2 linked regions of the Rattus norvegicus genome follow. The protein of the gene in region 2 interacts with the protein of the main gene of each other region in a pairwise test. Links are inferred from orthologs where the notes say so. Each region holds a gene or a part of one and is shown on either strand. Other genes may lie near its edges.

Region 1 (3,747 bases), on a different chromosome or scaffold from region 2:
GTGCCATCACCCTCTCAGGTGTCCCAGCAAAAGATAAAATGACACCAAAACAAAACAAAACAAAAACTTTATCTTATTAGGAAGAAAGAAAACACGTTGTGTCTTGGCATCTAATAACTGGTCCTAATTGAGCAACTACACACACAGGTAAGGGCTCTAAGACCTGTCCGTGCCCCACCCTTAGAGAAGAAAGGGGTATCTTCTGGTAGCTTTAGAGACCGTAAAGCTAGCTGACACTTCTGCTCCCGTTGATAAGGTCAGAGAGTTTAAGCAGCTTCCCACCAACATCTCAGTCTTTTGACTGGAGTCTGCTCTCGGAATCTATCCCACCAGATGCTTATCTTGGCTCTCACATTTCCAGGTGTGATAGGAAAGAGACCCGAGGCTTTGAGGTCTCAGACTACAGCCTAGCCCAGCCCCAGGGAGGCAACACTTGACACAAGATGGATACGGACCACACTCCTTTCCCAAGTTACAGGATTCTTTTCCCTCTGACTTACCCATCTCAACAGATATGCAGATTTGGGATTTGTGGTATGTACTACTCACACACACACACACACACACACACACACACACACACACACATACACGACTACATTTATTGGTTTCAAACCCCAGAGCAATATAGAAAGCAGGATAAATGATGCCTGAAACCCACAACTGTTAATAAGAAGCTTCTGGGGGAAGCAAGTGAGATGGGAGGTGGTCTATGCTTGGATCTCAGCCCTCGGGATAAAGCTGATGCAAGAGAATGCCACAAGTTCAAGGCCATTCTGGACTCACAACAGAGTTGGGAGCAGAGGCTGGCCTCGAATATCTGTGTGATGGTGTTTCAGTTCTTTAAGTCTGTAGGTAAACGTTTAAACAACAAATGGGAAAGACACAGAAAGGGACAGCAAGAAAATGGGAGCGCACCAATGCACATCAGACTGCCTGTTCAAGATGACAGCAGCAATCGTTCTGTACCAATCGCCTTGGCCACTGCTTTAGGCTTGATGGGTTCTGGTGAGGAACCAGGGAAGAGGGGGTACAACTCTTGGCAGAATGCTTACCTAGCACCACAAGGCCCTGGATTCAATCCCTCAGACTGGAATTAAAGTTAATATTCAAACCAGGAAATAATGAGTATGGCACTAGCAGTGTGTCTTCCACGTAACTAAAACGTAAGCTGAGACCTGTAAGAGTCGAGATCTTTAAACTTGGTTGGCAGCCGCTGTTACCCAGGGGCAGTGCTCTGCACTTTTATCCTTCTCTGAGAGCTCGTTTTTTTTCTTTTGAAAGTCTCACTATACAGCCTCGGCTGACCTAGAGCTCCACCTGCCTCCCAAGTGCTAGAGTGACAGATGCATACTACCACACCTTCATTTTTAAAAGGGGATTCTGAAACCATGACACTTACACACTGGCAGCGATTCTAAAGAGAACCAGTAGGTGGCGCACAAGAACAGGCTATGGAGCCTTAAGAGGCTGGCAGAAGATTGGCGTGTACCAGCCTCAGGGTCTTTAAAACCTTGTGGGTTTTAACCAAGCTGAGGAATTCTATTAACCACTTTATGTAGGCACTGCAGAGATGAGAAAGCCTCAAATGTGGTTGTTTCTTTACATCTTAGTTCTGGTTTGGCTAAACACTCTCAACCTGAATTAAGCAATGGCAGGGGGAGAAACAGCATGGTGTGGGGGCAAAACTTATTTTTGTTTCCAAAAGTTACTGAAGTGCTTAAAAACCAACAAATAGGGAAATCACTTTTCCCCCAAGTAACTTCCCATAATGGAACAACTGGGTCATTTTGTGGGGAAGAGTCTGTAAAACCGAATTTTCATTTAACAGTGACGTCCCTCTGTGAGCCCTCCCCTCTTCTACTTTTGACTGCAGATTATCAAACCGAGGGTCAGATTTCTGTCAGCATGTTACTGTAGAACTATATATTAGAAGCCTGGAGAATCATTTAGGTGACTTCTAGAAATGATAGCGCTCCTGCGGTCTGTGAGGCTCACGGCACAGCTGCTTCATAAGGGAGGCAAAGAAAGGGGGTTGGGGGCGCTGAATAGAGTCAAGCGTTCTCAGTTTGTTGAGGACAAAGTAAGACCTGCCGCTCTTTTCTCTTCCTAGCCTGACCCTAAGTCTTGTCCCAATTACCTGCTTCCTGCAAAGGGGAACTCAGCCAGGTGTCCAGAGAACAGATACTAGACAAGCAACAATCAGTGAGTACCTTTTTCACTCCCGGAGAGTTCCAATTCTCAAAAGAGGAAGTAAGCACGTTACTGGTCCCCACCCTCTCTCCAAAGGAACTGACAGGGCAAAGATCGGAGCTCACTGTGTATCTTGGCCAGGAGGGCCAGCACCGGCCCTGGAGCTGAACTTCCTTTCTCAAGAAACCTTTCTGTACATTTCCCCAGCAAACTCTGAGTGCTCCCAGTGACGAGTACTACAGGAAGTACCATGCAATGGCCAGAAAGGCAGAGGGGCAGGCACCCTAAGCCAGGTTTGCTTTGTGGTGCTGGCACCTACCTTGGAAGGGTGTCCCGTTTTCACACCATCCAAGGACTCACCCACCTCGCTCTTCCACTGTCGACCTGAACAGAATCCCACTGGGGGTCTCCGAGTCTTTGCCTCTCTTATTTCTTCGTTATTTCAACGTTAGTGCACTTATTTCTGCACTAACGTTGTTTTGTAAAAGGGAGAAGTTCACTATTTCGTGTCAGATGGGATGCAGTGACCCAAGGAGCCAGTGATCCGCCCTCCCCGCTCTGAACGAGCCACCCAATTTTACTTTTCTGCCTCCACCCATCGGCTCCACCCCATGGAGAGTTGCCAGGGCGAGTCCAACTTGTCCAAACAGGACACAGCTTCAGATAAGATTCTGCCCACACCCTGTACTTCGGAAAGACCGAGTGAAGCAATTGATTTTACATGTAAATAAGGACAGGTGGAAAGGCAGCCACCAAACACACTCCCTCCAGCTCTCCAAGCTAGTCTAAGGGCTGCGGAGACCCAAACCTGTATCTATCCTTCACGCCAGCTCTCAAGTTCAAGGGCACCTGGTTAGTGCTTGGGTTACACATTTGTTTTCCTCCTTACGCTCGCTGACAATTTTGTGTTTTAGTTTTAAGGGCAAGCGACCCAGGATAAATTGAAATATACCCGCAATGTCTTAATCCTGCTGTGTACCCGGCTCAAAAAAAAAAAAAAAAAAAAAAAGCCTCGCCTAAGCCCTCACGGCTCTCCTCGCTGAGGCGTTATATAATCAAATCCAGAAAGGCTGTGTGAGGCCACAGGGCCTCTCATCTGCCTGGCTCACTAGGTGCCCTCCCTATCACTGGAGACCCACCTCACTCCACCCTGCTAGGCCTCCACCCATGGGGCCCCACCCTGCAGGGAGTGGGAAGACAGGGAGGGACCTGACTGGCTCCAGGCTGCAGCCAGTTCCTGGAAATTCCACCCTGAACCAAGGATGGCTGGAACCTTAAAAATAACCAGAAAGAACTGTCAGAGTGTAGTTCCCAGTGCCTGGAGTCCCACTGAACTTTACCTAAGGACTGCACCTTCCATACAAAACTGTGCAGGGGGAAGGTGCCCTCCCCTTCAAGAGTAAACACAAACCAGAAAGCACTTGCAAACCTTTACTGGGCAACGTGGCTCCAGTCCAGACCAACCCTCCTCCTCTCCAACCCCCCTCCTCCCCAACCCCCAGTCCCTGCTCTAGGAGGTTGCCCCTCCTTAACTCCCATTGGCCTTATTTTCCG
Region 2 (3,621 bases):
GGATGCTTAGCTGGCCACACAGGCAGTTGGAGCTGGAGCAGTCGTCAACACACGTGCAGTGCTGGGCGGGAAGGAGTGGTGTGAGTGAGAGGGCTCTCCCCTGGAGCATGGGTTCGTTTCAGGACGCTGGCTGGTGACGGTCCCAGCGAGAGGGGGAGTCTTCATGTGCCCCAGTGTGGAGGGACTCCCACATCAGGCTCCTTCAGCCCCTGCTCCCTCGAGCCCGGTGGGGCCTGTGTCTCACCTGCAGGTGAGTGATGTTTCGGTCGATGTTCATGGTGGACGTTTCACAGTTCTCGGAGATGTACTTATAGTCCTCTGGGCATGGCTCCCCATCCACGCCATTGACACAGGGAATGGGCACATTCTCATAGCCTCGGGCTACATCCCTACAGAAGGGCAGTAAAGTTAGGTAGGGGCCGGAGCATTCCTGAGGGGAAGCTCAAGGATTCCTCCGTATAAGGGTGCTGGGGTGGTGGCACCTTTAATCCCAGTGCATGCGGTGAGACATTCTTGAAAACAAAAAAAGGGAAGTTAAGACACCAGGGAAACAATCTCAGCTTAGAAATAATTATGTCCTCAACATCGCACAGGTTATCTTTGTTTCTTGGTGAGGCCCAACAACATTGTGCATGTGAGGCCAATAAACACTCTACTCCAGCCCCGGCCCCGGCCCCGGCCCCTTATATTCCTCTGTGAGATACAGCATCATATAGCCTGCTGGCCCCAAATAGCGAGATAGCCAAGAATGACTTGGACTCTTGACTCTCCTGCCCTAGCTCCCAAGTGGCTAGGATTAGAGGTATATGTCATCACCCTGCTGGACTCTGGACTTTTAAATTTTAGTTGGAGGCTGAGCCTTGGTATAATGCCTCGCTTGGCTGGCCTTAAAAGTGAGACCATGGCCTTCCCGCTTCCTTAGTGTAGCACTGACACAGACTGCAAGCACCCAGCTAGCACAGGACGCACTAGTATTCCTGCTCACCTGAAAAAACATTTTCTCATTTTACGTGTTAAGAATACTTTGCCTGCACTTCTGTATGCACCCCACATGCACGCCTGCTGCCCGCAGAGGTCAGAAGGAGGCATGGATCCTCTGGGTCATGGATCTGAAGTTACAGATGGCTGTGAGCCACCCTGTGGGTGCTGGGAATTGAACTCAGGACCTCTGGAAGAGCAGCCAGTGCTCTTAACCGCTGAGCCATCTCTCCAGATCCCTTTTTTACCCCCCCCCCCCCCCCCCGGAGCTGAGGACCGAACCCAGGGCCTTGCCCTTGCTAGGCAAGTGCTCTACCACTGAGCTAAATCCCCGACCCCCTTTTTTAACTTTTTAACGTGTTGCCTCTTCCTTCCTTTCTTTGAGACACTCTCATTCTGTAGCTCTGGCTATCCTAGAACTCAGATCCATCTGCTACTCCTCCCCAGTGCTAACATTAGAGGTCACAGTCCTTTCTGGCAGAGTGATGCACTCCTTTTAATCCCAGCACTAGGGAGGCAGAGGCACAGGGATCTCTGTGAGTTCAAGGCCAGCCTGGTCTACAGAGTGACTTCCAGGACAGCCGGGGCTACACAGAGAAACCCTGTCTTAAAAAAAAAAAAAAAAAAAAAAACCTCTCCTCAAAGACAGTGAACATTCCTGGTGGCCTCCAACCGCTCCCTTCTTGAGACAGCATCTCACTGTGTAGCCCTAGAGCCCAGAGATCTGCCTTCGCCTCCCTCCAGAGTAGTGGATTAAAGGTCTAAACCACCACGCCTGGCTTGAGGACCTTTCGCGCTCACACAGGATACAGTGTGGAATTAAGGTCAGAGGGCAACCTTCAGGAGGCAGCTCTCTCCTGGTGGGTTCTTGGCTTGAACTCAGAATGCACATTCAGTAGTTGGGTTGCCTCACACTAGCCTTGCGGGGTTTTTTGGTTTGGTTTGATTTTCCTTTTTAAGGTCTGAGTCTCAATAATAACAAATACTGATCTCCAACCCGTGGGCTCAAGAGGCAGGTCTTCCTCCAGCCTTCAGAATAGGAGGGGGTCACAGGTGACACCCAGCTCCTGTCTGAAATTCTTTTTTTTTTTTTTTTTAAAAAGCTTTATTTATCTTATGTTTATGAGCGCTCTATCTGCATGTACACCTGCAGGCCAGAAGAGGGCGGAAGATCCCCTTTCAGATGGCTGTGAGTCACCATGTGGTTGCTGGGAATTGAACTCAGGACCTCTGGAAGAGCAGTCAGTGTTCTTAGCCTCTGAGCCATCTCTCCAGCCTGTCTGAAACTCTTATTTGGGTATCTGCCTCAAACTCACAATCCTCCTGCCTCAGCTACCTCTAAGGCTTGGAAAACATGTCCTTTTCTTTATTTTTCTTACATATTTATTTATTTTTCATTTATTTTAAGAAAGATAAGGTCTCACCATGTGGCCCTCCTTGGCCTGGAACTCACTAATACATACAAACCAAGCTGGCCTCAGGTTCAAAACAACCAACCGTCTGCCTCCTGCGTGCTGAGATTACAGGGGTGGCCACCACACCCTGCCTTTAGCTTTTTTCAGGTGTGCGACTGTGCCATGCTGTGTGTTCGTAAGCCAGAGAAAAACATGGCTCTCCAGGGACTGCACTCAGTTTGTCAGGCTTGGTTGCAGGTTCCCTTGCCCACTGAGGGCCCCTTATTTCCACCTCCCTTAGAGGCAAGATGATTGTAGGAGCTACTGGGACGTCCTGCGTCTGGCAAGGGGCCTGAGACTGAAGACGTGGAGGAGCTGTGGCATCTGGGCTGCACTCACCGGCAGATGATCTTCTCGGTGCGGACAGCCCGGTTCCCTACCCCGAGCCTAAGCTTGCGATTGAGCTGCAGTGCAAACCACACATCGGAGCGCTCTGGGGTCAGATCCCACGCCGTGTCCCCTTCTTTGTTCCGAAGCTCAGGGTTGGCTCCACGGGACAGGAACAACCTGAGAGGGATAGAAAACCTGAGTCAGAGACTGGACAGTGGGGTGTGGGTGCCGGGAGTGGGGTGTGGGGAGGTGGGTCCGGAAGCTGGGGCTTACAGAACGCAGTCATGGTAGCTCTCCCTGGCGGCTATGTGCAGGGGCGTGTCCCCGTGGTAGTTGACAGCATGGAGGTCGCACTGGGCATTCAGGAGGACCTCGGCAATAGCGGCACTACCCGTGAAGGAAGCCCAGTGCAGGCAGATGTTTTCCTCCTGTGGAGGTGAGGGGCAGAGATCGGGTTGCAGGTGACAGGATCGGGGTCCCCCTGCTCCCCACCAGTCCCCCCAGCTCCCTTGAGTGCCCCTCACGTTGTCGGTAAGGGTGACGTCGGCGCCCCGGGTCAGCAGCATACGGATCACGTCGATGTGCTTGTGCTCGGCTGCCCAGATGATGGGTGTCCAGCCCCCACTGTCCTGAGGGACGGAAGGAGGAATGGAATCAGGGCCCAGACTTGCTGGCCAGAAAACGGAAGCTGAGGGGCACCTCTGGGAACAGCCAAAGCCAGAGCATGGGGCATTCCACAGATGCACACCCTCCCCACCCAGGCTCAGCGGGGTCCTCGCTGGATGAGCTCAGAGGTTAAGAGGAGGGACTCAAGTTCCATGAACCAAAGAAACGAGGGAAGCAATGTGAGCGGTGGGAG

What was found.
Region 1: the proteins of Ehmt2 (region 2) and Klf3 interact in binary tests that used the Homo sapiens proteins (3 or more experiments, as listed by UniProt). The two-hybrid records come from large-scale screens. The link is inferred for Rattus norvegicus from reciprocal best matches to the Homo sapiens genes EHMT2 and KLF3.

The regions. Positions count from the first base shown.
Region 1 is NC_086032.1:43,848,079-43,851,825, forward strand, and holds the start of Klf3 (Krueppel-like factor 3), read right to left. Parts: upstream 2,749-3,747; 5' UTR 2,558-2,748; exon of another isoform or gene 2,513-2,557; intron 1-2,512. UniProt on the Homo sapiens protein: Binds to the CACCC box of erythroid cell-expressed genes. May play a role in hematopoiesis.
Region 2 is NC_086038.1:3,927,162-3,930,782, forward strand, and holds part of Ehmt2 (histone-lysine N-methyltransferase EHMT2), read right to left. Parts: intron 3,392-3,621; coding exon 3,287-3,391; intron 3,191-3,286; coding exon 3,036-3,190; intron 2,940-3,035; coding exon 2,772-2,939; intron 390-2,771; coding exon 245-389; intron 62-244; coding exon 1-61. UniProt on the Homo sapiens protein: Histone methyltransferase that specifically mono- and dimethylates 'Lys-9' of histone H3 (H3K9me1 and H3K9me2, respectively) in euchromatin.